7 linked regions of the Macaca mulatta genome follow. The protein of the gene in region 7 purifies or fractionates together with the protein of the main gene of each other region. This does not show direct contact. Links are inferred from orthologs where the notes say so. Each region holds a gene or a part of one and is shown on either strand. Other genes may lie near its edges. The genes, in order: BAZ1B, TOP2B, CREB1, HNRNPC, PRMT5, SS18L1 and SMARCA4.

Region 1 (3,753 bases), on a different chromosome or scaffold from region 7:
ATTATACTGCATGTTGATTATTTCTTAATAAAGCTGCTTTTTAAAAGTTCAGATTTGATGGTGCCATCAAAGCCCAAAATTTTTAAGTTCTTAAATCTTAAAGGACAGATTACTTAAAGGACAACTTAAAGGACAATCTGAGTTGGTGACTGTGCTAGGGGCTTCAAATATCCTGTCAACCAATTTTACAACAATCTTATCAAGCATATGAGGAAAGTGAGGCACAGGTAAGTAACTTGCCCAAAGGAACATTGTACAGCTAAGTCAGAGCTAGGATCTGAACCCAGGTCAGTCAACTCCCGAGTCCTATGTTGTTTCCACTATGCTTATGTGTAGATTTGGTCCTTTATTGAACCCAGAAAAGATGCCAACATCACACTAACTTATTAACTAATCAGAATGCCAGGCTGAACACTCCAGCTAATATGAAATTATCAATAGAATAAAAAGTAAAATACATACCAATAGGTGCCAGGTTATTACATACAGAAATAAGTAAACAGAGACCCTACCATTACCTCAATAATTTCCTTTCTTTTACTATCTTCTACAGAGTTTCCCCTTTTCTCTCAGCATGAAATTTTACCTTTCATTTCTCTTTCCTGGATTTCCCGTTCCTTCTTAGCTTGAATGGCAAGCAACCTTCTGCTCTTCACAGCACTAATCATGTCTTCAGCTTCTGTATCTACTTGGGGCTCAAACTTCACAATTTCTTTTTTCCTATCAGTTTTGCCTAACCCATTCTCCACTTTTCCATTTTCTTTATTTTTGGCTTCCATTTCTTTCCGTTTCTGTTTCTCTGCTCTCTTCTTATCATTTTCTTCCTTCAACACAGCAAGCCGCTCCTTCCACAACTCTGCAGACATCTGCTGCCTGGTCTCCATGTGGTCTTGCACAGAGTATGTCATGAGGATCCGGTGGCACAGTGCTGTCAAGATCTGTAACTTCTCTTCTGACGTCAGCTCAAAAAATTCAGAGGTCTCCAGCTTTTCTAGGAACTCATCTCGTACCTCATTATCCTCAAATGCAGCTGAATCTTTATTGTCATCTGTGTCTGAGCCCTCGCTTTCCTCCTGAACATCACATCTACGCAAGCAGAGCCGCACCAGCTCTGAAACAGAATGCAGAGTCAAGGGGATTTCCGACAGCTTCATTCCCAATTCACCATAGTCTTCTGCTATCTCATCTTGTAGTAGGGTCTGTAAGAGGATGACCAACACCCTATTAAGGTATAAAAAGCCACCCTTATCTGCACTCAAGGCTTCCATAAGGGACACAGCAGTAATAGGATACTGAGCATCTGGTAAAAGTAGCCCAGAATAACAGCTCAAGAATTCCACCACCATGGCCACATCCCCAAACAGCGTGTTGGGCAGCCCTTCAGGGGTATCCACCAATCTGAATGGTGGAAGGTTTTTGCCAGTTAACTCTTGGTCCTCATACCGCTTCTGTTTTTCTAATCTCTCAAGCATTTCTTTCTCTCTTCGTTCTTTGGCTTTTTCCTTCAACTTCTTTTTCAGTTCCTCCCGTTTCTTTTTCAAATATTCTTTCCGTTGCTCTTCAGACATAGAAGCCCACCTCTTTTTGTGCTCTAGAAGTTCATAGCGTTTTTGAACAAGACTTCGCAATTCTTCTGGGAGACGAGCTCTATCTTCACTAGACAGAAGACGAGCTGTTTTGGAGATAACACAGGACAGGGCGCTCCTCTTGTCCTCCCTGTCTTTATTTTCTTTGTAGTAGGCAATGAGGTGTAGGGCTGCAGGAGGCAGATGTTTATGAGGTTTACTAGAGGACCTAGGTGTACTCCCAGAATTCCGTGGGGTTCGCGTCATCTTCTGTGTACCTTTGGCCATATCCAACAGAGTCATCTGCTTCATTTTGGTTTTAGGAGTCTTCAGTCCCTTTTTGGGAGATTTGGAATTCCCTGTGGATTTCTGTCCATTCAGGATGCCTTTGCTTCTGCCCTTTGCCTTCAAAGGCTTGTCACTGTGCTTTCCTGGTTTCTTGGCAGGTGGGCCTTTTTTAGGAATGTGAAAGTTAGCGTGCAGCTTATTGGGCGACATCATCTTCATCATTTCTTCTAGATGTTCTTCAGGAGATTTGGAATTCTTTGAGTTCTTCACTTTGAGTGGCGAGCCACTCAACGACTTCTTCAAGTGTACGTGACACCATAACTTAGGATTTAGTGGTGAACTAAGAGAAGAGTTGTCTGTCTTGGATTTCTTTGAGGGCTTCCTGTCTGGGGATCCAGTATTCTTCCTCTTAGTAGAAGGGTTGAGAGTCATATACTAGAATTTAAGAATAGGAGCAAAATTAATTTTAAAATCTAAAACTAACTTAAGCAACATTTAAGCATCTTAAAGGCCCTCTTCCCCAGCTATTCAGGTAAAGCTACATATTCATATCTCTTCATAGATACTTTGGCCCTGAAAAAAGCAAAGACATGAACGTTAGCTAAGGTTTTTTACTATGTCAACACAAAATTCCCTTGACATCCAGACTTAATATTAGACATTTCTGCTATGTAACTAGTTCTCTGTTTATATATATTAATGGTTCTTAAATATTTAAACAAAATCTGTGAACCCCTCCACCAGAAATATTAGACAAAAACTACGCATACAATTTCAGAGAATCCATCCATGGACCCCAGATTAAGGATATATGATCTACAAAATGGCAGTATCTGAAAAGTTTAAAATGCACTGTTCTTGAAACAAGAATGAATTTTCATCCTTTCACTGTTGGTTACTATTCAGGGCATTTTACGCTTTTAAGCAGAAATGATACTGCTTAAAGTACTTTTGTCTAAACTCTAAGGCACATTTTCTGATAAAAGCAACAATTAGTGTAAGAACATGAACACTGCTCACAGATAAAGACACCTCCTGACCTGGGCCTCAAACTCCCCTTTGTTCTCACCCCACAGTTTTTTTTTTTTTTGAGACGGAGTTTCGCTCTTTTTGCCCAGGCTGGAATACAATGGCGCGATCTCGGCTAACCACTACCTCCGCCTCCCAGGTTCAAGTGATTCTCCTGCCTCAGCCTCCTGAGTAGCTGGGATTACAGGCATGCGCCACCATGCCACATTACTTGGCCACCCCACACTTTTAAGAACACATTCTGGTGGGCGCGGTGGCTCACGCCCGTAATCCCAGCACTCTGGGAGGCCAAGGCAGGTGGATCACTTGAGGTCAGGAGTTGGAGACCAGCCTGGCCAACATGGTGAAATCCTGTCTCTACCAAAAATGCAAAAATTAGCCAGGTGTAGTGGCGCATGCCTGTCACCCCAGCTACGCAGGAGGCTGAGGCTCGAGATCACTTGAACCCAGGAGGAGGAGGTTGCAGTGAGTCAGGATCACGTCACTGCACTCCAGCCTGGAGGACAGAGCAAGACCCCCGTCTCAAAAAAAAAAAAAGAGAATTCATTCCCATCACCAATTTCACACCATTCTCCTTTGAACATACCCTCTTATCTTCCAAATCCACTCCCTCTAGTCCCGCAACTCTACAGTCCTTCAATCTCACCAGAACCTTAAACCCATTAATTTTATTACATTTTCACCACCCTAACCCCCATGTCTTGCTTTACCCAGATTAAATTTTAGTCAATCATGATAATTAATCTCACATAAACCTATAGTTCCCTTGTCTCTCTTATTCTACTTGGAAAAGCCATAACCCTGATTGATTAACTCTATTTACTCCTGCCCTGCATATGTTCAGCTTAAACATGGCTAAAATAATAGATAC
Region 2 (3,753 bases), on a different chromosome or scaffold from region 7:
CTTTTAGAATGTTTTAGAGAAAAAAAAAATGTATGGGATCCTCAAATACAATGAATAGAAACCAACTCACTTCCATTCAAAAGCTGAAATCCAGAGTTGGCATTTTTATATGGAAAGAAATATAAAGTCCTAGATAAGTAGACAATAGATACAAGGCCTTTGCTTTGTTGAATTTTGAAAAATAGACCTTGTTTTACAGCTTTATCTGCAGTTCTATGTGAAAACTGATAAATCAGGCCAGTTGCAATGGCTCACACCTGTAATCCCAGCACTTTGGGAGGCCAAGGCAGGCAGATTACCTGGAGTCAGGAGTTTGAGACCAGCCTACCCAACATGGTGAAACCCCATCTCTACTAAAAATACAAAAAATTAGCCCAATGAGGTAGCGTGCGCCTGTAGTCCCAGCTACTTGGGAGGATGAGGTAGGGGAATCGCTTTAACCCAGGCAAGGGAGGTTGCTGTGAGCCAAGATCAAGATCATGAGCCAAGAGCAGGAGGAGCCCTAGGAAAGTGGCACCCATATTGTGTGGTTTTTCATGACTATATCTACCACAAGAACCACAGGGCAGCTCCCGGCAGGGAGTATAAACTCAGCCAGGTGTTCTAGGAACCACTTTTTTTCCTTTGCTTGGAGTTACATGGCACTTTCAATTTACCAGGCAAACAGGTCAGATATCTGAGTACTACAGCTGCCTTTCTGCTGTAAACTACAGAATTTAACTTGTATAATATATGCAATTTGGAGTTAACGCAGACAATCCCACAGAGGGATGTCATGCATCCTCTTCTTGAAATGATATTTTAATTGGAATTGTATTTTGTAAGGGAGACTAGAGGAAGGTCGAGGACTTGCTGGGGTCCCTGAAATCACACCACACAGGCAGTCACCTATTCAACTTAGACAAGGCCAGTTCAGCTATTAAAGAAGGAAGCAAGTAGAATAGGTGCCATGATATTCTAGCCTTTTAGTCATGCTAAACTCATTAGGTTCAATATGGGTGAACAGTTCTATGAAGGAAACGGGGTATGTTTCAATAAGTAATATGGCTCCTAAGTTTTCAGGGTGTTTATAAGATGCTCATATGAAGATTATTTTAAAAAGATGTTTTTTGATTGTTCTGTTATTTGAGATGGAGTCTCACTCTACCGTCCCAGCTGGAGTGCAGTGTTGCCATCTCAGCTCACTGCAACCTCTGCCTCCCGAGTTCAAGCGATTCTTGTGCCTCAGCTTCCTGAGTAGCTGGGACTACAGGCATGCACGTGCCACCACACCAGGCTAATTTTTGTATTTTTAGTAGAGATGGGGTTTCGCCATGTTGGCCAGGCTGGTCTCAAACTCCTGAACTCAAGTGATCTCCCTGCCTCGACCTCCCAAAGTTCTAGGGTTACAGGTATGAGCCACTGCACCCAGCCTGACTGTTTTTTTTAAAAAAAAGAGAAATTAGAGGGTCTATCTCAATTTGGGTTCCCCAGATTTGGGCCAATCTGCCTAATCCTAGAGTAAGGATTTAAGTATAAGTATTTATTTGAGAGGTAAAGGAAAGGGAGACAAAAATGAGACAACGAAGAGAAGGCAGCCAGTAATGGGTAAGTTATCAAGCCAATCATCACTCTAGGAGCTTAATTCCACGAGAAATTTTTGAGAGCCAGTGTGAAACACACATCTCACAGTTGGCTCACATGAGAGGCAAGGACACTGAGATATTTACAGAACAACTTTCCTCAATCCACTAGTTAAAGGCAGCTGGGAGCAGGGGAGCATTAATATTCCAGCACAGTGGCAAAGAGGAAGTCCTCAGGCAAAGAATGCAGACATTGCCCAATGTGCACTAAGTGGTAAGGGCACTGGGACATGAGTAGGTCACTCAGTGTGTTGGCTACAGAGACTCTTGTACATAACCAATTTCTCAATATGGTTCTAGTGCAGTCAGAGTAAGCAGGACTTTCCAAAATTGTTCTACTACATTCAATACATGTGTGACTGTAATGAGGTTGTCTGTTGTGAATTTTTAAAATCCTTGAGGGAACAATCCATATTATTTACTTGCTATCTTAAGTAGCACACATCTCAATTAGATTTGTGGGGTTTTTTTTTAAGTATCATCCTTCAAACACAAAGCACAAATACTGACCCCTTTCAGAAAGACCAAGGTACATATATCTTGGTACTAGTAAGAGATCCATTAATCAACTCAAAGTGTTTTGTGGCCAATCTAAGGCTATGAAAAAGAGAGAAGCTGCATGACTCACATAGAAAAAGAGGACCTCCACTGAACTGATCAATCCCTCCACATAAGGAGTTGAGTAATGATCAACAAAGATAACAGAAGCAGGCTACTAGCAAGACAAAATTTTAATCTCCATTACAACCTAACCACAAGGGAGCTTTTCTAGAAAGCTATCTTTAGATATCAATGTATGGGATTATTTTATAATTACAACAGCTTTAAAATGAAGTCTTAAAGAAATTTTATTAATTCCCTCACATGGTTAGAATTTTATTAATTGCCTCACATGGTTAGAAAACAAGAGAGGTTCTCCTTGTAAGCACTTATAGTTCTTAATTGTTTTATGATAAAAAATGCAAATAGTTTGAAATTAAGTTACATTTCCTTTTACATTAACTATCTCTATGCAATGCTTAACTCAATCAAATATAAGTACATACCCTTTTTAGCAGCTACTGTTTTACTTGGAACTTTATCTATCTGTTTCAGACCAAATGATGGTGAGAAAACAGAAGCAGAATCTTCTTCATTACTGTCAAATTTAGCTGAATCTAAAAATTGCAAAGCCTTCTTTTAGTAAAGAGATATTATAAAGATCTCTCAGTAAACTTTGACTCTTAACTGATGACTTCTCTTTAGCTAGACAATTGATCTTATGTTACTATTATGTGACCAGATAATCCACAATATACAAACAGCAGAAAATAAAACATATCAGTTATACACCAAAAATGTTAACTCTGTGGTGAAATAACACAGAAGTGCATAAAGTAGTAAAAATTAAAAGTACTAAATGTTAAATATTTAAAACATAACTGACCAATTCAAAAATACATGCTGACAATTTATTTTAAAATGAGATATGAAAATGTTCCACTGGATTATTTTAGTACCTACATAAATAATACTATTAACCATTTCAGGAATATCAGTAACAATGTTTACATCTAAAAGAATAGTAAGTATTCCTATTTTAAAATAAATTATTGAAGACTAATTCAAAAGGCAGACAGGCTTACCTTCAGTTTACTTTTGCATGCAAATTAGTTTAATCAATCCGTTCTTCCCTAACACCATAGCACAAACTTTTAAAATAGCTACTTGGATGTAAATAAATATGTTTATACAACTCTTTTGACACACTGTCAAAAATGAGTATCTATACATATGGAACATGTACCAAATATGTCTAAATGTATAGATGTGTGTATTAAAAAATGACCGTGAATAAATTAAATAACCTTAAAAATTCCATACAAAAAAAATATAGGAAACAAAAAGTATATACACCAATTAAATTTGTTCTTATGAAGGTTTTGATCTCTCAGGTAACTAGGGTTTAGTAAAACCAATCTGCAATCATACTGGTGCCCTTACAGATTTAGAAAACTGTAGTATATACATTCACATTGCCATGAAAATCAAATTTCAAGCTTTCAAAATTTCATTACTTCTTGTCTCTCATTAAAACACTACACATACACTCACACCCATAAACAAAGATAAGCATTTGCGTGTCCACCTA
Region 3 (3,753 bases), on a different chromosome or scaffold from region 7:
GTGCTTCTCTTAACTTTTCCACTGAAACAGTCACACTAGAAGAGGAAACCAAATATGGAGATTCTGGTGGTGCAGCAAAACCACTGCTGGTATAAATTTCTTTTAAATCTCTTATTTTACCTTAAAAATAAGGTTTATTTCTCTCAAATATTTTAGCAAAATGAACATTCAAGGAAAGCACTCCACATTCACCCCCTAAGGCTACATACACATCCCTAGCATACTGCCATGTGCTCTGGTTTGAGAGGCACAGCAGAAGATGGCTGCATACTGGAATCAGTGAAGTAGCATGTTTACAGCCTTTGGTGCCAGATATGGGTTCAAATTTCAGTTCTACTAATCTCATAAAGTGTGTGACTTTTGGCAATATATTTGATTTATCTCTGATATTTACCTTCTCCTCCTCTAAAGTGTGGATAAGCTTCTACCTCACTGTAGGTAGAATTAATAAAATAATATATACTGGGGCTTAATAAATAGCACTCGGCAGAAAGGTCAAAGCCAGAATATATAGAATTAGGAGGTATCAGCATATAAAGTAATGCCTGAAATACATGGATATGGATGAAGGTTCAAAGGAAAAATTTGAAAAGTAGTCAGAAAACCAGGTGAAGCCAGCCAAGGAAGAGTTTAGAGTAATGAGAAGTCGAAAGTGTCATACTCCATAGAGTTAAAATTAAATGAAAGAAAATACTAGATTTGCCAAGTGGGAGGGAATTTGTACCTTTTTATAGACATATGAGGGGTATGCTAGTCACAGAAGCCAGATTCCAGTGAATGGAGGCTGAAAAAGTAGAAGCAGCAGTAATCTGGTAAGGAAAGGGGAAAAGAACTATAGCAGAATCAATAGGAAGTTTCCTTTTTCAAGAGTAGGGTAACTACATCTAAGCGAAGTAATGTTATGAAAGAGTCCATGGTAAGTCTCAGGCAAGCAAAGGCTGGTAGCAACTGTAGTTACGTGTGGCCTGTTCCTAACTTGTTGGTGGCAGTGGTCCTAAATCTGAAAGAAAAATAAATAGAAGAAAAAGGAAATTTGGTCTGCCAGTCAACGCAGTGAAACTTTTTTTTTTTTTTTTTTTTTTTTTTGAGATGGAGTCTTGCTCTGTCGCCCAGGCTGGAGTGCAGGCGCCCGATCTCGGCTCACTGCAAGCTCTGCCTCCTGGGTTCACGCCATTCTCCTGCCTCAGCCTCCAGAGTAGCTGGGACTACAGGCGCCTGCCACCACGCCCGGCTAATTTTTTTGTATTTAGTAGAGATGGGGTTTCACCATGTTAGCTAGGATGGTCTCGATCTCCTGATCTTGTGATCCGCCCGCTTCGGCCTCCCAAAGTGCTGGGATTACAGGCGTGAGCCACTGCACCCGGCCAACGGGGGGAAACATTTTGTTCCACAGAGCCAAACTACATAGACATAAACAGAAGTCCTTCTGTTGTGTTTTATAATCAAAAGGATTTATTTTCTGATTTTGCTCCTATGTTTGCTTAGAACTGTTTTCTTTAGTAAGCAGTGTTGTCTTAAATATTACTACTCAGCCTTTGCTTGAGACTTCTTAATCAGACTTGCTTCTAATTTTAAGTTAAGAGTTTCCTTATAACCGGCCGGGCACGGTGGCTCAAGCCTGTAATCCCAGCACTTTGGGAGGCCGAGACGGGCGGATAACGAGGTCAGCAGATCGAGACCATCCGGGCTAACACGGTGAAACCCCGTCTCTACTAAAAATACAAAAAATTAGCCGGGCGAGGTGGCGGGCGCCTGTAGTCCCAGCTACTCGGGAGGCTGAGGCAGTGGAATGGCGTAAACCCGGGAGGCGGAGCTTGCAGCGAGCTGAGATCCGGCCACTGTACTCCAGCCTGGGTGACAGAGCGAGACTCCGTCTCAAAACAACAACAACAACAAAAAAGAGTTTCCTTATAAACATTTTTAAAAACTGAAAAGATTTTAATTTTTATTTACAGATTTTAATTTATATTTTAAAATATATTTAAATTATGAATGCAGCCTTTATGCTTCTGTTTAGTAAAACCTAAATACTCAAAATCACAGACGGATGGAACACAAATAAAAGTCACTTGAGGGCTGGGCACCATGGCTTATGCCTGTAATCCCAGCACTTTGGAAGGCTGAGAAGGGTGGATTCATGAGGTCAAGAGTTCAAGAGCAGCCTGGCCAAAATAGTGAAATCATGTCTCTACTAATACAAAAATTAGCCAGGCGTGGTGGTGGGCGCCTGTAATCCTAGCTATTCGGGAGGCTGAGGTAGGAGAACTGCTCGAACCCAGGAGGCAGAGGTTGTAGTGAGCTGAGATTGTGCCACTGTACTCCAGCCTGGGCGACAGAGCAAGATTGTCTCAGGAGGAAAAAAAAAAAAAAACAGTCACTTGGCTTGTTGTAACTCTTTTTCTAATATCAGAGAAAAATCTCTGCCAGACAGATTTTTCTCTGAGTTCAGATATAATTTACTAACATTGTGACAGCTAAGAATATTTTAGGAACAAAAAAGCTGATCTGAGCTGTAAGTGAAATTGCACACACACAGACACACACACACACCCATTTCAACAGAGCACTACAGTTACAAAGTGCTTTCAAAGGAATTATCTTACTTGACTCTTAAAACAATACTTGGGTGTGTGCTGGAATCCCATTTTGCAAACCTGAGGTATAGAAAGTTAATACTGTCTCCCAAAATGGAGGGACAGGGCTAGGACTTGGAAGCCCTGCTTCTTTCACTTTATCAGTGTTTGAAGTATCCTGGGATGAACAGTGAAATACTTTCATCAATTTCAAACTTTTTAAAACTTTACATACCCTATTTTCATTTTCTTCTGTTTGTCTCGGTCACTTCTATATGAAAGTTCTAAACTAATATTTAGTAACTTGTTTTTATTGTTTTTGATGGCAAAATCATTTATAGCAATGAAGTTACTTTCTGAGAACTGCTTTACCAACATTTCGTAGATTTTGAAGGTAGTAGTTTTTGAAGACTGTATTTTAAGATTTTTTTCCATAATGTGGTATTCTTAGAATATATTTTTGAAGAATCTTTAGGTGTTAAAATGTTATTATTTTGAGTAAAGATATTATTCATTAAAACATGAACTGGCCACCATACATTTACTTTGTATCAAGTAAATTTAATATAGATAAAATTTAACACACAGTTAATATACATATGTGAAACTCTTGATCTTCTTGAACAATACTATATATGAAAAGAAACCATTTTGAAATAACCTGGCAAGCTGGCTGGAGTGCAAACATAGGAAGGTTGTGCATTAAATCTCCTGTGGGGAAACTGCATGAAAGAAAACTACTCCATGATCAAAGATTGACCCATAATCCTATAGCTATCTTATAAATGCAGCTCATTAAATAAAGTTTACAAGATCCATTAATTCTGCTGGGAAAAAAAAAACCCAATGCAAAGATCCTATTACCAGTAGATGTAAAGATACACATCCAGTAGAAAGTGAAGACACACTTAACCCACAACAATCTAAGTAAATGCAGTATATGTACCTGTTCTTCATTAGACGAACCTCTCTCTTTCGTGCTGCTTCTTCAGCAGGCTGTGTAGGAAGTGCTGGGGAGGATGCCATAACAACTCCAGGGGCAATAGTGCTAGTGGGTGCTGTGCGAATCTGGTATGTCTGTACATCTCCAGAGGCAGCTGAAAGAAACAGTGATTATGGTGTAAGACAGAAACACTGCAACTTGATTCAATTATGTGTATCAATCATCAATCTAAGCATG
Region 4 (4,342 bases), on a different chromosome or scaffold from region 7:
CACAGTAAATGTACCAAAGAAACCTCTTTCCTTTGGTTAAGAAACCAAATTTTCTTGTAAGATTTTCTTATTAACTAAAGAAAAATAAATTTTCTTTGGTTAAGAAACCAAAATTTCTTACGTTAATAAATCCAAATTTTTCAATATCGAGAAAACCTGTAGTTATGCCACACCTCAACTTTCTAGTTCTCACCAATCCTCTAGTAAATGTAGTATACACAAAACCAAAAGCTTCCCATTTCCAATGAGAATACAAGAATATGCATATTAAGAGCAAATAATGCTCCCCAGAGACAACTACTAATTATTTGAAGACTGAAATAATGTGGTTAAGAATAGTAGTAACTACTACTAATTTAGAAAACTGGGGCCGGGTGCCGTGGCTCACACCTGCGTAATACCAGCATTTTGGGAGGCGGAGGCACGAGGATTGCCTGATCTCAGAAGTGAGACCAGCCTGACCAACACGGTGAAACCCCGTCTCTACTAAAAATATAAAAATCAGCCCGGCGTGGTGGCGCACGCCTGTAATCCCAGCTACTTGGGAAGCTGAGGCAGGAGAATCGCTCAAACCCGGGAGGCAGAGGCTGCAGTGAACCGAGATTGTGCCACTGCACTCCAGCCTGGGGCAACAGTGAGACTCCGTCTCAAAAAAAAAAAAAAAAAAAAAACTGCTTTAAAAAGACTGCATCTGTACAGTTTTTAGTCTTCTGGCAACGAAAAATTTGAATTAGAAACTAAAAATTCAAATAAGTTAAAAAAAAAAAAGTCTAAGTCCTCTTATTTAAGCAAGGAGGATTAAAATCTATTTCTCCTCCTAGGCAAACTTACTCCCTATTCAACACCTCACATTCAACACTTAATATTAAGTTTTAATAATTTGCCCCTTAGTCTTTAAAATTAGAGCAACTAGCTATTTGAGTTTATTCTTTGTGTCGCACTGCCATTCCATCCAAAACAAGGTCGAATGCCATGTCAAATCCTCTAAGAGATTTAATTACAAACGTAAGCTGTTTAAATTCTCCACAGAAGGAACATCAACTACCAAGTATTCCCAAGAGTGGCACACGAATGGGGGGAAAAAAAGGTCAGAAAACCTGCAACCTGGCCATCCTTCAACTTTTCCCCCTAGCCAATACGCTAGCCAATACGAAAATGTTACTAAATGCCTATCCAGTTGAGAACACACCTGGAATTGTGATATAAATGCCGTGGCAAACAGTTCTTGATATTAAAGAATTTTTGGTACGCTGATATACATACTGATCTGATATACATACTGATCGGAAGGAACCCGTATTTCTAACACCTCAAAGGCAAAGAAAAGTGCCTGTCAATCAATTTCAGCTATTATCAACTGTTCTTAAATACTAACTTCTGACATTTCTCATTGCCAACATTTTTACTACATGATTTCCCCATTAATCTATTTTTGCCTTTACCTCATTTCTAACAGTTTAGCACGATGATAAACTTTAGTTTTAAGTTCCTGTAATAATATATTTAAACTTAAAGGGGTCGCGATGTTTTTGACCCTTATTTTACTTCCTATCAAATAGGTTGCCTTACAGATAAATTTCTTACCCGGCAGAATTGGTTTAAACTGTGCTTAACAGCTTTAGTTTTTGTGAAATTAACAGATTGTAAAAAATAACCAAATCTCATGTGAGGATTTAAAAAACCGATTTCCCAGATAAGTGAACGTGACACTAAAGATCTGTAACTTTAACTTACAAGTTTTTTATCAAATTTCAGCACCGAGCAAATAACAGCACTGTTAATATTTGCTTAATAAAATGTAGCTGTGAATTTTTGCCCAAGTTTAGGTGGACGGGAAAATTAACATCAGAATAACCCGAAAGTCAAATTTTGTCATCTTACACTTAGGAAGTTACGTTAACAACAAATTCTCAAGTCTCGTAGTATTTTTCTTAAGCGCAATTTGGGAATTTCCAGTTACCTCGTGGTTTCCGTCATCAGGTTCTTGCAAAGATTCAAATATTGTACTTTTAGAACCCGGTATTCCATTAACCAGGTAAAAACCACTCGACTGACCTCGTGGTCAAATTCCTTAGTAGTTCTGCTACTGACTTAATTATGACCCTAGCAATCAACACTTTGCCTCAGTTTCTGTCTGAGAAAGAGAGTTAATACCTACCTCAAGCAAAGTTCCACTAACTTATATATTTCAAGTGTTTTGTAACCTGCAGATGAAAAGTCAGCTGTAATTATTAATATAGTTATACACAATATTTCCTTTTACAAACGTAAGTGAAAATAACTACTTCGAGCTCCATTATTTGCTCATAGAGAGGAATAAAATAAAAAGTTATCAGTAAAATGCTAAATCTTTTGTTAAACCTTTCTCATAGGCCACGCGGCACGATCCAGGATTTAAAGGCTCGCGATACATCTACTTGGTAACCTTCCCCCTCCCCCTCCCCCAATTTTTACATGTAAGAAGAACCGAGGTAATAGAAGGCATCGGCGCTATGTTAACTTCGACTATATTAATGAACATCGCGATCTTCATTTTCAGGATCCCGGAGTCCTCGCGGTCGTAGAAAATGAAAGGAAAGCAGCCGTTAACACAGGAAGAGCGAAAAAAGGGCATTTTCCCTGGCGATCGTGGCCCAGAGGACACCAGGTTAAACCTACGCAGAGGCTGAGGCCTGTAAAACCGCCTCCCGCTTCAGACCTAATCCCCCAAAACAAACAGAATAAATGAGGGCCCGGTTAGTTAGGGGGAAGGGTTCCCTCATATTCTCTCCCACACCCCCTCTAGCTTCCCAAAAAACCCAGCGCCTTCCCTGCGTCCGCCCTCTCCACTTACCAGGAGGGGGGAGGGAGAAGAGATTCGATTCTGAGTCTCCTACTCCCGGATTCGGCGTGAAGAAACCGACTGCAGGTCGAGGTCGGCAGCGCGGCCACAACCGCTCAGTCTTCGTCTCTTCACAAAATGGCCCCCGAGTCTCCTCTGCCGCCGAGGCGAAGGCCTAGTCCCCGCCCCATCCCTAAGAATCTTCCTATTGGCTGTGTGTTTTTTCGCTCCCGCTCCTAATTAGACAGTTCAACCGCTTCTCACAATGATATCCAGTCACAATTGGCAGTGGGTTAGACTAAGCAGAAGAATTTCCACATGCGTGAGAGAAACTAGTTTGTAACTGGTTAATTTTCCTGTCATTTATCGTCTGGGGAATGTTTATTGGCTATTGCACCGGACGACCCTCTGGGTGGAAACTCGCCTTTGTATCGCGCACCGTCTCACATCCGGGTATCTGGAAGGCCTGATTGGCGGCCGCGGTGTCCTATCGCTGCTCCTTAGAGTGCCTAGTAAAAGGTTCGCTCAGACCTCGGATTTCCGGCGGCGCGGGGGCGGGGAAGGGCTTGAGGGGCGTTGTTAGGTGACGGGCGCAAAGGACTTGCCCTAGCCCCGGGCCTAGGAGAAAAAAAGCGCGAAATGAAGCCTCCGGCGTGCAATATGAATAAAGAAAGAACTTTACTTAAAATGAGGAGGGAGCAGCGGTGACTAGGCCGTGTTAAAGTGTGTAGAAAACTAACCAGCCCTGCCGTTTTTCCAACCCGAGAGCCTTTCTCAGGTCCAGATTCGAATGTCAGCTACCTCGTAGACATCTCTGCTTCTCAGCCTATTAAACCCTTCTTCAGACAACACATATTCCATCCAAACCAACTGACTTCCTTATTCCTCTCCAATATGAAAAGTAAATGAAGTGCAAAATCCCGGCCTCTGGCCCAAGTCATCTCACTAATATCTTAAGTGCCAGTAAAATTGGCCCATCCCTCCGAATCTGCTCCCTTAATTTCCCTCCTCTTAAAATGGCTTGTCTCCTACGTACCCCCGTCACCTGCCAGTCCTTCTGGTTACATTATAGGAACTGCGCACACAGTGGATTAGCATCAGCTCTACTAAGGGAGCCATTTCTTTTTTTTTTTTTTTTCTTTTTTCTTTTCTTTTCTTTTTTTTTTTTGAGGCAGAGTCACTGTCGCCCAGGCTGGAGTGCAACTGCCTCCAGTTGAGGTTGATTGGCGGCCGCGGTGTCCTATCGCTGCTCCTTTTTTTTTTTTTTTTTTTTTTTTTTTTTGAGACGGAGTCTCGCTCTGTCACCCAGGCTGGAGTGCTGTGGCCGGATCTCAGCTCACTGCAAGCTCCGCCTCCCGGGTTCCCGCCATTCTCCTGCCTCAGCCTCCCGAGTAGCCGGGACTACAGGCGCCCGCCACCTCGCCCGGCTAGTTTTTTTTTTGTATTTTTTAGTAGAGACGGGGTTTCACCGTGTTAGCCAGGATGGTCTCGATCTCCTGACCTCGTGATCCGCCCGTCTCG
Region 5 (4,194 bases), on a different chromosome or scaffold from region 7:
TGTATACTATATACAAAATTCCTGAATCTTATTCACAGGAGGTCAGAGAAGCAACACCCAACCCAGGATTCTCATGGACTCACCCACTGCAATCCTCTTACTATAGTCACACAAAGTCCGGAAGTTGTGCCACCTGTTCAGAGTCAAATACAGAAAAGTACAGTCAACTAGATACGGCCGACCAATCACCATAGCTCAAGGAGACCTCCCTATAGGTTTCACCCTGTACTTCCCCTCACCCTATCACAGCAGCAAAGGGAGACATACCACATCCATGTTTTCTCCTCCCCACTGTACTCCTCTGTGTGTGTAGTTGGTGCATTCTCAATTATATCATCTCTCAGGTCCTCTGGTGCCACCAAGGGTACCCGCATCCAGAACTGCACATGAACAGTCACCCTTTTAGAACACCCTTTTGAACTCACTCGGTCCAGAAAGTTTCCCTCAATCAAAAACTTCATTCAGACCTCGCTAATCCCTTTATATGCTTTTCCCAATTTGTGATTTTGTAAGTGAACATGTACCTTATGTATAGATCCTTATGTAAATATCTGCCTTATCTTACGTAAGTTTCCGAAATAATTACATTTGCATGTTTTGAAACTCTCTTCATACCACTTTTAGATGGAGAGGTGCGCAATATTGACCTTTTTTTTGAGACAAGGTCTGGCTCTGTCACCCAGGCTGGAGTGCAGTGGTGCAATCTCAGCTAACTGCAACCTCCGTCTCACAGGTTCAAGTCATTCTCCCACCTCAGCTTCCCAAGTAGCTGGGACTACAGGCGTGTGACACCACACCTAGCTAATCTGTGTTTTTTTGTTTTGGTTTTGGTTTTTGTAGAGACAGGGTTTCACCAGGCTTCCCAAGCTGGTCTCGAACTTCTGAGCTCAGCGATCTGCCCACCTCAGCCTCCCAAAGTGCTGGGATTACAGGCATGAGCCACTGTGCCCGGCAATACTGATACTTCAATTCTGCCAAACACACCCTTCACTGAATGGCTAGGCACAAGAAGGTACTTAGCACAATCTGACTACTATGATATGCAGCAGGAAAGGAGCCCCTCAGCTATACCATAGAAGAGTGATGGCCAGTGTGGATGTGGTTGGTCAAAACTCTGGCCAGGTTGGTGTTATCTTCCTGATTAAGGGGCAGCAGGAAAGCTGGAAGACCCAAATATGCACCAAAATTCAGCTCCTGTAACATGGCCTGGAATGGAGATGAAGAGGAAAAGGTTGAGCTAACAAGCAAATAGCTTTCTTTTCTTTTCTTTTCTTTTTTTTTTTTTTTTTTGAGACAAAGTCTCACTCTGTCACCCAGGCTGGAGTACAGTGGCACAATCTCCACTCATCTGCAGCCTCAACCTTCCCAAGCTCAACTGATCCTCCCACCTCAGCCTCCTGAGTAGCTGGGACCACAGGAATGTGCCACCATGCCTGGCTAATTTTTGTATATTTTATAGAGATGGGGTTTCACTATGCTGCCCAGGCTGGTCTCAAACTCCTGAGCTCCAGTGATCCTACAACCTCAGCCTCCCAAAGTGATAGGATCATAGGTGTGCACCATGGGGTCCAGCCTAATAGCTTTAATTTCATTGTATCAGTTGATTTACCAAGTTATTGGGGGTGGGAGGGGACCACTCTCCCTACCCAGCTTGGTTAGAAAGATCCAGCATAGAAGTCAAAGAGTCTTACCGCCTCGGAGTTCCTGCGAATCTTCTCCACTTTTGAGTCTGGACGAATCCATGGAGAAAGCTTTCCCACAATTAGCGTATTCCAGTCTGCACTCCCCCACCCAAGAGAGACAAATACTGAATAAGGTTCAGCACTTTACTTGTTCAATTTTTAGTTTTGGGAATCAAGAGTAGAAATGAGAGACAAAGGTTTTTTCTACATAGACATGGGATAGCCTGATGCAGAATAGAGAAGCAAGGAGAAAACAAGTTATCTATATCCCAGGGACTAACAAATATATCCAAGTCAGAAAAGGAGAAGAATCGGGGCCCCGATAAAGCAGAAGTTGTTATTGCCTCTAATAATTAAGGGGCATATGGGATGGTCCCTACCCCTTCCTGACAGCAGTAGGTCTGATCGTGTCTGGGGGCCGGGCCGATTCTTAGCAGGTTCCTGAATGAACTCCCTCTTGAAACGCGGATGGAAGACAGGCATGCAGAGGAAATCAAACCTACAACCGCGACAGACCCAGAATCATGTAAAGAGAGCAGCAGTGCCAGAAAGCCAAGCAACTGGATTTAGGCTATTTTGATTTTGCACAGCCCTTTCAGCTGCCATCAGTTCACCCTACTAGGCTGCTGAGTTCAGACCACCTTGGGGGATATCTCTGCTGTACTGTGCCTCAGTTTCTCCCCAAAACACAGCCATGGGAAATATGAGTAAGGAGAAAACGATGGAAATCCACAAGTAGAATTTTTTTCTCCTCAGGTGTCACTATGTTTCGAAGACCATCACATCCAGATTTGCCCCAGTTCTGCCCGTGCCTCCCCTGTCAAGATTAGCCTCTTCTCTCCCTTGCCCCCTAACACCTCCTCCCACTCCCAGACAATAATCGCGACCTCCAGAGCCCTTTAGAGTTTACTCAACAACTCTCCCAACTTTGGGACTCAGTGACCACAGGCCCCCCACAAGTTCTCTTCCTCACGTTACTGGGTCCGAGGCTTCTCCCCTCCAAAGAGTAATAGTCTCTCCCCTTCTCATCTTAGCCGACCCCCTCACCCCAGTTTCTCCGGGATGACTAGTCTGCCCTTCTCCGTCCCCGAGTTCAGACCCCGCATTCCGCTCGTGGAGGTCCGGCCCTCACCCCTGCTTGGCCACAGCCCCTAGTGTGTCAGCTATTTCGGGGACGCAATTCAGGTCCCTCCCGCTGGACACGCGGCTCCCACCAGCACCCCCGACCGCCATCGCCGCCATCTTTTTCCTCGCGCTGTCCATGCCGGGATTCCTTGATACTAGTAGCCAATCACAAAGCCAAACTAGAGACCCAGGAGGCGGGACGAGTCGCCTTAACAACCAGAGCGTCTGCCACAGCTCCCGAACGGGAGGGATGGGGAGTGGCTTTTCCCGCCAATCCGCGGGCTGCGCAGTGGCGTACGGCGAGGCTCCTGAAGATCCACCAATCTCAGAGTCTGGTTTCAGACGAACTTCAATCTCCCAGAATGCTTAGTGTATCTGCAGAACTCCGCTATGAGACTACACCTCCCATGAAACCCTGCAGTACAACCTTGAAGGAGGATCACGGAGAAAATCACTTTCGTCTCAGGGCCAGTGGCGCAATGGATAACGCGTCTGACTACGGATCAGAAGATTCCAGGTTCGACTCCTGGCTGGCTCGGTGGGGCTGTTCACAATTTTACTTTATGAGCATTTTCTGATTTTCCTTACCTTTCGTCGTTTGAAGCTTCTTTATTATCTTAACGCTTTCATTTTCAGGTCCTAAGTTGGTTGGGTTCTGCAGCCATCTAATGTCAGCTTTTCCCATAACTACCTTCAAAAGTGTTTTCCTTGTGTCATTATTTACGTCCATATGAACATTGAGAAAACTGGGTTAATGGCTGGTGCTATTAAAATGGGCTTTGTCACCTTATTATGTTACATATTAAAATAAACTGCTAACTCAGCTACTTCCTAGTGATTCTAGGAAGTAGTGTTTTGTGTTTCAAACACAAAAGGTTTGAATAAACGCCTAAACACACACACACACACACACACACACACACACACACACTTCAAGATAGAGAAAAGGAATTCATGAATTACAGTGGGCAGCAGTCATGAAACTGGCTGGCGTGGAGGCCAGAGAGAATCTACATTTTCCCATGTCAATAGCTGCTAGAGAGATGGAAAGGAAGGAAGCAAGGAAAGACATAGGGGAGGGAAATGGGAACTTCTGAAGGCAGGGGGCCCACTGGTGTTGAGGCAGCTCGGCAACAAGGATGGAGAGGAGAACACGGTACAAGAGGCCCCACGCAGGCGCTGCTGGCAGAACTTAGGGACCGACTGGCAGGGAGTCCTGAGAAAGCAGTCGGGGTGATGCCTAGGATTCTGTCCCTGCAGTGAGCGAGAAATGCGAAGAGGGTTTGGGAAATCAGGGTTTGGGTTTAGTCATGCTGAATTGAACGTCTAGGGGGCGCTGTGTAATAGAAAGTTGGATGAAGAGTGATCTGAACCAGATGAGATGGAG
Region 6 (3,677 bases), on a different chromosome or scaffold from region 7:
TTTGGGACGGGAGTTTCGCTCTTGTTGCCCAGGCTGGAGTGCAATGGCGCGATTTCGTCTGTCTCCGTCTGCTCCCGCCCACCTCGGCTTCCCAAAATGCTGGGATTATAGGCGTGAGCCACTGTGCCTGGCCACCTCAGCACATTTTTAAGTGTAGCCCAGTGGTTCTCATATGGAGACAATTTTGCCCTGGGGGGCATCTGGCAATGTCTGGAGCCATTTTAAATTGTCAGACTGGGCAACGGGGGTGCTACTGGCATCGTGGGTGGAGGCCAGGGATGCTGCAAACATAACACCGTGTGCACGACGGCCCCTAGGAGACGCCCAACGCCGGCAGTGCTGTGCCAAAACGCCATGGCCAGTTACACTTGATTCTGACTAAAGACTATGTTATGTTAATATTCTGCAGTTAGATGGACACATTTCCCCCTAAATGTGGAATTCTCTGTCTTCTCCATTGCTTTGTGTCTTTTCTTTTCTTTGTTTTGAGATGGAGTCTCGCTCTGTCACTCAGGCGGGAGTGCAGTGGCGCGATCTCAGCTCACCTCTGCCTTCCCAGTTCAAGCGATTCTCCCACCTCAGCTTCCCGAGTAGCTGGGCTTACAGGCACCCTGCTAATTTTTGTATTTTTAGCAGAGATGGGGTTTTACCATGCTGGCCAGGCTGGTCTCGAACTCCTGACTGCAGGTGATCTACCAGCCTCAGCTTCCCAAAGTGCTGGGATTACAGGTGTAAGCCACCATACCTGGCCTTTCTTTTTCGTTGTTTTAAGACAAAGTCTTGCTCTCTATAGTCCAGGCTGGAGTGCAATGGTGCAGTCACGGCTCACTACAGCCTCGAACTCCTGGGCTCAAGGGATCCTCCTGCCTCAGCTTTCCAAGTAGCTGGGATTATAGGTATGCACCACCATGCCCGACTACTTTTTTTATTTTTTGTAGAGACAGGTCTCGCTATGTTGCCCAGGCTGGTCTCAAACTCCTGGGCTCTAGCAATCCTCCTGCCTTGGCCTCCCAAAGTGCTGGAATTACAGGTATGGGCCACCACAACCAGTCACGGTCCTTTCATAGGTAGGCATAAAGTTATATGTCCTCTGGTTCAGTCTTATAATTAAGTTAGGACATTCACTTATTTCACAAAATCCAAGTAAGTTATTTTCAGGACTGTATGAAGGAGGTATAGTGTCTCGTCAGAATCATTAATTCTAATTTGGATGCAGACTGCTGTCCTTCCAGACCCCAGCATGACGCTCCTGTGCAAGCCTAGAGGGCCAAGCTGGGGCCTGCTCCCCGCTGACCGGCGCCCAGCACACACTGGGGAGAGGCGGCCCCTGGCGTCGGCTGCAGTGGCCTCACGGTGTCCTGAGAGCACACCAGGAGCACTCCTAACGTCTGTGTAAATGCCTCATCGGCGTGCCCTTCCCAGGCATGACCTTCTGAGTACTGTGCCCTGGCAGGGGGCCTGTGTTACATGATCTTTAGGCTTCTCTACATCTACCTGGTGACCCTTTGCCCTCTTGAGGGAGGAGGACGAGAAGCATTTAAAAAATAGTATTCGGCCTCTTACCTACCCAGTTCCCTGAGAAAAACAACCTTGATCGACGTAGTGCTTTGAAATTTCACTGGCGGTGTAAAGTGTCCCTAACACCTCTGGCCAGCTCAGACTCACCAACACAGACCCACTTCCTGCTAAGGACTCTCTCAAAGGAGGCTCCAAAAAATGTCCAAGACCATTCTCCTTCGTATGCCCCATGCTCCAGCTACCGAGCCTCCTTCGGGCTGCCTTCACTGGGACAAACCTCCCGGTGCCTCAGGACCTTGGCACGCCCTCTTCCTGTGCCTGGCTCATTCTCCTCTAGGAGGCCCTCGCTCCTGCAGTGCTCCCGCCACACAGACCCTGTCCTCCTCCAGAGGGAAGGCGATGCCTGCTTTATGGAGGCCCCCACGCCCACCTGTCCCTGTCACCTCCCGCCAAGCCGGCCTCCTCACTGTCCCAAGAGCTCCCGCTCTTCCATCTTCCAAGCTTCTCTTTCCTCAGCTCCTTCAAAGCCCTGCTCACTGTTCCTGGGCAGAAAGGGCTCCCCCTCCCTGGGCTGAGCCTGGGGCTGCCACTCCCCGCTGTGTCTTCATCCTGGAATTGTCCACAGGGGCCAAATGCAGCCGCCTGTGCCCCCACCTGGAAGGCGGGCTCCACTCGGGGCCCGCCACTCTGATCTCAGCACGGTCTGGCCTATGGGACAACTTTATGTCTCCGTAGCGAGATAATAAGCTCTGAAAGCGCAGGGTTCGTGGCACGGCCACACACCAAGCACCCAGCAGAGACCGGACACGTGCCCAGTACGCGACAAACACTGGCAGAGTGAACGAATGTGAGAACCAGGCATGCAGATCTAACGGTGAGCTCAGGGTATGAAAAGCCAGCTGGATGACTGAGGTGAGCATATACACAGAGGTAATTCTGAAAAACCTTACAGGCTCAGAGACTTAACATTCTGGAAGGAACCCTGGAAGCCAGTTAGTTCCAGCTCATTATTCCTCACGGCCATAAGAGAAATCTTCATTATGTCTCCACAGGCGCGGTGGATGGGCACATCTGGAAACATCCAGAAAGCTTGCCTGTTCATAGCCGTAGGGCCGCTGCTGCTGGGCAGACGGCGCTGTCTGCGGTGCTCGGTAGCTTCCGTACTGCTGGCCTTGGCCTTGCTGGTAGCTGGGGTACTGTGACGGGGCTCCCTGGGCAGGCCCTGAGAAAACACCAGGAACTGTGAGGCCAAAACGGGCGCATCTTTATTTTTTTTAACTTAAAAATTTTCTAAAAGCTTCTTCCTCTTTTCCTTAAAAAATTCCTGTCTCAATGCATCAGCCTTTTGTCAATCTCCAGAACGCCTGGCACCTGCACGTGCTCCTCGTTAACTCTGAACAGCGAGAGCACCACACAACCGACTCCCCAGCCCCTCCAGTCCTGTGAGGTCCCAGGACGGTGCCCCAGGCCCCCACCAGCATGGGGAGGGCTGATGGGCTCTCTCCATCTCCCCCGAGCTGCTGCTACCTGAGGGCAGGAGAGCCCTCCAGAACCCACTGGCACCAGTCACACTGGCTGCTGCAACTTGTAACTTAATGATCACAGGAGCTGCTGGAAACCTGCAGGCAGGTGAGACAGAGGCACCGTCTCTAGGAAGCCTAAGTCAAAGGCTCCGGAAAGAACTGATACGATAGAGGCCTTTTTTTTTTTTGAGACGGAGTCTCGCTCTGCCGCCCAGGCTGGAGTGCAATGGCCGGATCTCAGCTCACTGCAAGCTCCGCCTCCTGGGTTTACGCCATTCTCCTGCCTCAGCCTCCCGAGTAGTTGGGACTACAGGCGCCCGCCACCTCGCCCGGCTAGTTTTTTGTATTTTTTAGTAGAGACGGGGTTTCACCGTGTTAGCCAGGATGGTCTCGATCTCCTGACCTCGTGATCCGCCCACCTCGGCCTCCCAAAGTGCTGGGATTACAGGCTTGAGCCACCGCGCCCGGCCTTTTTTTTTTTTTTTAATGACAGGGTCACACTCTGTCACCCAGCCCAGGCTGAAGTGCAGTGGTGTGATCTTGACTCACCGCAACCTCCACCTCCCAGGCTCAAGCGATTCTCCTGCCTCAGCCTCCCAAGTAGCTGAGACCACAGGAGTGTGCCACCATGCCCTG
Region 7 (3,753 bases):
CTAGGGGTGTCCCTCACACCCGCCTTGGGCGCCAACCTCCTCCAGATCTCAGCCTCACCCTTGTCCCTCACACCCTTCACTGGGGCCAGCCCCACACCCCTGAGGCTTCAGTGTTCTGTCTGTGGCTCTACAGCAGCATTTCCTGTCGTCTCCTCCCAGTGCTAAATCCAACGGAAGCAATTTGCCCTTCAATGCCCATCGCTAAACCTCAGGCTCCAAGAGGGTGGGTAATGAGTCCCACTGTCTCTTTGAGCCCACCAGATGGGAGCCTGCAGCACTTACTGAGCAACCACATATACAGGGCTCAGGGACTGGGTGAAGGCCACGAGGGATGGGATAAAATGACAGTCATTGGGAACTGACTGGCTACAGGGGAGACCTGGGGACCACCACAAGAAAAGTGCAGGCTGCGGTTCGGGCTGGCCACCTTGGCCCTTCCTCCCTGCCAGGGCTCATCTCAAGGCCTGCGCCACCCAAGCTTGCAACGGGGAGTCAGGGCATGGGTGCACCACCATAGAAGAGGGAGCTCACCTTCAGGCCAGGGCTTGGGAGGCCCTCCAGGAGGCTGGCCCGGCATCCCAGGGGGCACGCCTGAGGGTCCTGGGGGGGGCATGTTGGGCCCTCCCATACCTACACGTAGGGAGAAACAAACAAAAGAGAAAATAGTGCTCCCCAGGTTTATGCCTGCGCCCAGCCCCGTGGGCAGCCCTGGCTTCAGGGGACACAGCAGATACACCTATTAACCAGCACCCCCAGGGGAAGCAGGGAGCTGGGGAAACAGCATTTAGCAGGACAGCTGCCCCCACCACCCGAGCACCCAGAAGTGCAGCATGGGCCCGTGCAATCCCAAACCGGGGAACCCAGTTGGCAGCAGAGCCCAGTCTGTCCACTCCTCCACTCACGCCCCAGCCATTCACTCTGAGACACCTGAGGGCCAGGGCAGCCAGCCTTACCATGAGGCCTGCTGTAATTTGGAGGTGCCGGGCCGGGACCGGGGCCAGGGCCAGGGCCAGGGCCAGGGCCAGGTCCTGTTGCGGACACCGAGGGTGGAGGTAGCGTTGGCATCTGCTGCTGCATCCCAGGCATTGGCCGCTTGCCCTGCACCGCCATCTGCAGGTGGTCGGGGAGGGGCTGCCCCCTGGCCAGCATCTTGTAGGCCATGATCTGAGCTCTGAGCTGGTGCAGCTGGTTCTGGTTAAATGGGGTTGGGCCCCGGTTCTGCTGCCCCAAGGCCTGGGGGTCAGCACCATCCAGCGGTGCCCCTCCTGGTCCGGAAGACATCTGGGGGCCTGAAGACGGGCCACTGGCTGGAACTGGACTAGAGGCATGCTCAGAGCCACCCAGGGGCGAGGGGTAACCTGCAGAGAAAGGCCAGCCCACTGGTCACTAGGCAGCCTACGTCTGTGATTTTTACAACTTCTTCCCTACACCAGCTCCTACTCTGAGACAGGGCACGACCAAATGGCATCCTTCTTGAGTCAATCAGGGGCACCTGGAGGGCACGCGCTGGAGACACCTCAGCCCAGTAGCCGGCATGGTGGATTTGGTTTAACCCACGTCTCAGTAAGGTGCTGCTGGTTAATGCTGAGAACCTGTGCATGAAATCACGGCTCTCTCCCGGCCTCCGCCTGCTTGTCCACAGGTGGGGTCCACATCTTCGGGCTGGCTGGGCCCGCTCCCAACATTTCCATTCCCAGTGGAGCCCCTGAGCTTCCCACCCCTGATGACAGCAAGAACTTGGCAAGTCACCCACCATATCACTTCTCAATTGTCCTCGTACAGAAAAGGCACCTGCTGGGCTCATTAAAGCAGAGTCCCAGGCCCTAGGAATCTGTATTTTCAGTAAGTTCCTCAGTGGCATGGGGCTGCTGCCCTGCACAGCCGTCCTCTATCACCCATGCTGAATACGGTCTGCCCCCCAACCAGCACTTCCCCTTCTGGGGCTGCTCCAAGACGAGGTGGCCAGAACAGAGCACCAGCCATGCCACGCCAGACAGCCCTCTGTGGCAGGCCACCCACCTGGCTAAATCATCCTAGGTACTCCCGGAATCCATCCTGTGGGAACCCAGGGGAAGAAAATGATCTGAGGACTCTGGTGTATGACAAACACAAGACAGGAAGGAAAGCAGTTTGGTACCTTGGGAGTGCTGGTCCATGGGGCTGGGCGGGGGCCCCATCCCAGCGTGGCCCCCTGACCGCATCCCCATTCCTTTCATCTGGTTGTAGCGCGGGTCGTCCGACATGCCCTTCTCGTGCATGGACTCCATGGGCTGCGAGAGGGACCATGACAAGGCAGGGTGAGCATGTGGAACGTGAGGTGGTGGCACGGCTATGCGCTGCCCAAGAGAAGCTCGAGGGCACTGAGAATGGCCACCTATGACAACATGCATCTCCCCAGTCCCCAGCGTTACTACACGGCTTGGCTCTAAGGCAGGGTTCTGACACCTACTTAGGCCTCAAGACAGGTACACAAAATAAATGTCACCCAGTGGAGCACGAGCACCTGGGAGACTGTGGCCAGGCAATCCTCATCTTCCACCACCCAGGACCTCCTGTGGCCCCGACACTTAGAAACATCACTTTTCTTATGGATGCTAATACGACCTTTTCTTTCAGATGTTGTATGTATAAGAGAATATGTCCTCTAACCATGCCCAGGGACACACACAAGAGACTTGTGACCATACAGAGGCTTCTCCGCCTCGCTGACTGAAGGTCCTGCTCAGCGCAGGTGAGTGGTAAAGAGAGTGGCTGAGGGGCGCGCCTTGGAGAAAAGGGCACCCGCTGCTCGGCTCTGCGAGCGGCACAGGTGAGCTCGACAGCCAGAACGGGGGAAACAACGTGGCTAAAAGCCTTTTTAGTAATTTGGATGTTTTTCTTCGTTACCAAAAGAAAACTTTGGAGTGATATTCCCAAATTTCCCACGCAGAAAGCAAGGGAGCGGAAACGGTGGGGCAGGTGTCCGCAGGGGCCACGATGTGCTGCTCAGGCCCAGATCATGTGCCAGCACAGGCTGGAGTCCGACGAGCTGACCCCTCTGTTCACGGCCATGGGCCCCGGCGTAGGGGGCTGAGCCAAGGCATGCCACCTCCAACAAGAAGGCTTCCCCCCCGTCCTCTGAGTAAGGCCCTCGGTCCAGAGGCTGCCTGCAGCCCTAGGGGGCAGGGGCCCCTACCTTGTGCATCTGGTGCATGTTGTCCTGAGGGTACCCTCCAGGCCCCTGGGTGGGGATGGGGTGTCCTGCTGAGGGCGGCCCCGGGCTGGGCCCCATCATGCTGTGGGCGGAGCCCGGTGAGGGACCCGGGCTAGGGCCCAGCATGGCTCCAGGGGAAGGGCCAGGGCCCGGGGAAGGACCCGGCCGAGGAGTTCCGCCCAGGGGTGGGTCTGGAGTGGACATCTTCACGGGAGCTGCAGACAGTGGCCTCCTGCTGGCAGAAAGTCCCAGTCAGTCTGGGGTTCACGACCCAGGGTGAGGCAGGACAGGGATAGCAAGGGACATCAGAATCTCCTTCCGACAGGAAGCCAGCACCTTTCACCCCAGTCACCTGAACCTTTTCTTCACGACCACTCTCAGAGGAAGTGCAACATCTCAGGCACAGGTGGGCCACGCTCACAGACAAGCACTGCCCCACAGGGACCTTCAGGGTCTCCTGCCATATTCCTGATCACGGCAGAGAATGTCTCACCGGGATGCTGGTCTACCCTTCACACTGCTCTCCACTTGCTTATCTTCCTAACAGAAAGAGCAGGACT

Evidence for each region.
Region 1: the proteins of SMARCA4 (region 7) and BAZ1B fractionate together in Homo sapiens (co-fractionation; 3 studies listed by BioGRID, with this or other methods). This does not show direct contact. The link is inferred for Macaca mulatta from reciprocal best matches to the Homo sapiens genes SMARCA4 and BAZ1B.
Region 2: the proteins of SMARCA4 (region 7) and TOP2B fractionate together in Homo sapiens (co-fractionation; 3 studies listed by BioGRID, with this or other methods). This does not show direct contact. The link is inferred for Macaca mulatta from reciprocal best matches to the Homo sapiens genes SMARCA4 and TOP2B.
Region 3: the proteins of SMARCA4 (region 7) and CREB1 purify together in Homo sapiens (affinity purification with western blotting; 3 studies listed by BioGRID, with this or other methods). This does not show direct contact. The link is inferred for Macaca mulatta from reciprocal best matches to the Homo sapiens genes SMARCA4 and CREB1.
Region 4: the proteins of SMARCA4 (region 7) and HNRNPC purify together in Homo sapiens (affinity purification with western blotting; 3 studies listed by BioGRID, with this or other methods). This does not show direct contact. The link is inferred for Macaca mulatta from reciprocal best matches to the Homo sapiens genes SMARCA4 and HNRNPC.
Region 5: the proteins of SMARCA4 (region 7) and PRMT5 purify together in Homo sapiens (affinity purification with western blotting; 3 studies listed by BioGRID, with this or other methods). This does not show direct contact. The link is inferred for Macaca mulatta from reciprocal best matches to the Homo sapiens genes SMARCA4 and PRMT5.
Region 6: the proteins of SMARCA4 (region 7) and SS18L1 purify together in Homo sapiens (affinity purification with mass spectrometry; 3 studies listed by BioGRID and IntAct, with this or other methods). This does not show direct contact. The link is inferred for Macaca mulatta from reciprocal best matches to the Homo sapiens genes SMARCA4 and SS18L1.

The regions. Positions count from the first base shown.
Region 1 is NC_133408.1:50,958,453-50,962,205, forward strand, and holds part of BAZ1B (tyrosine-protein kinase BAZ1B), read right to left. Parts: intron 2,289-3,753; coding exon 587-2,288; intron 1-586. UniProt on the Homo sapiens protein: Atypical tyrosine-protein kinase that plays a central role in chromatin remodeling and acts as a transcription regulator. Involved in DNA damage response by phosphorylating 'Tyr-142' of histone H2AX (H2AXY142ph).
Region 2 is NC_133407.1:22,870,265-22,874,017, reverse strand, and holds part of TOP2B (DNA topoisomerase 2-beta), read right to left. Parts: intron 2,780-3,753; coding exon 2,669-2,779; intron 1-2,668. UniProt on the Homo sapiens protein: Key decatenating enzyme that alters DNA topology by binding to two double-stranded DNA molecules, generating a double-stranded break in one of the strands, passing the intact strand through the broken strand, and religating the broken strand.
Region 3 is NC_133417.1:112,842,786-112,846,538, reverse strand, and holds part of CREB1 (cyclic AMP-responsive element-binding protein 1), read right to left. Parts: intron 3,671-3,753; coding exon 3,520-3,670; intron 1-3,519.
Region 4 is NC_133412.1:94,116,532-94,120,873, forward strand, and holds the start of HNRNPC (heterogeneous nuclear ribonucleoproteins C1/C2), read right to left. Parts: upstream 3,006-4,342; 5' UTR 2,834-3,005; intron 2,205-2,833; exon of another isoform or gene 2,159-2,204; intron 1-2,158. UniProt on the Homo sapiens protein: Binds pre-mRNA and nucleates the assembly of 40S hnRNP particles. Interacts with poly-U tracts in the 3'-UTR or 5'-UTR of mRNA and modulates the stability and the level of translation of bound mRNA molecules. Single HNRNPC tetramers bind 230-240 nucleotides.
Region 5 is NC_133412.1:96,009,882-96,014,075, forward strand, and holds the start of PRMT5 (protein arginine N-methyltransferase 5), read right to left. Parts: upstream 2,949-4,194; 5' UTR 2,925-2,948; coding exon of another isoform or gene 2,815-2,924; 5' UTR 2,789-2,814; coding exon 2,730-2,788; intron 2,182-2,729; coding exon 2,063-2,181; intron 1,778-2,062; coding exon 1,692-1,777; exon of another isoform or gene 1,610-1,691; intron 1,238-1,609; exon of another isoform or gene 1,207-1,237; coding exon 1,072-1,206; intron 381-1,071; coding exon 268-380; coding exon of another isoform or gene 248-267; intron 168-247; coding exon of another isoform or gene 134-167; coding exon 84-133; intron 1-83. UniProt on the Homo sapiens protein: Arginine methyltransferase that can both catalyze the formation of omega-N monomethylarginine (MMA) and symmetrical dimethylarginine (sDMA), with a preference for the formation of MMA.
Region 6 is NC_133415.1:114,967,717-114,971,393, reverse strand, and holds the end of SS18L1 (calcium-responsive transactivator), read right to left. Parts: intron 2,741-3,677; coding exon 2,526-2,740; 3' UTR 752-2,525; downstream 1-751. UniProt on the Homo sapiens protein: Transcriptional activator which is required for calcium-dependent dendritic growth and branching in cortical neurons. Recruits CREB-binding protein (CREBBP) to nuclear bodies.
Region 7 is NC_133424.1:11,723,537-11,727,289, reverse strand, and holds part of SMARCA4 (SWI/SNF-related matrix-associated actin-dependent regulator of chromatin subfamily A member 4), read right to left. Parts: intron 3,429-3,753; exon of another isoform or gene 3,426-3,428; 5' UTR 3,398-3,425; coding exon 3,176-3,397; intron 2,271-3,175; coding exon 2,138-2,270; intron 1,359-2,137; coding exon 954-1,358; intron 631-953; coding exon 532-630; intron 1-531. UniProt on the Homo sapiens protein: ATPase involved in transcriptional activation and repression of select genes by chromatin remodeling (alteration of DNA-nucleosome topology).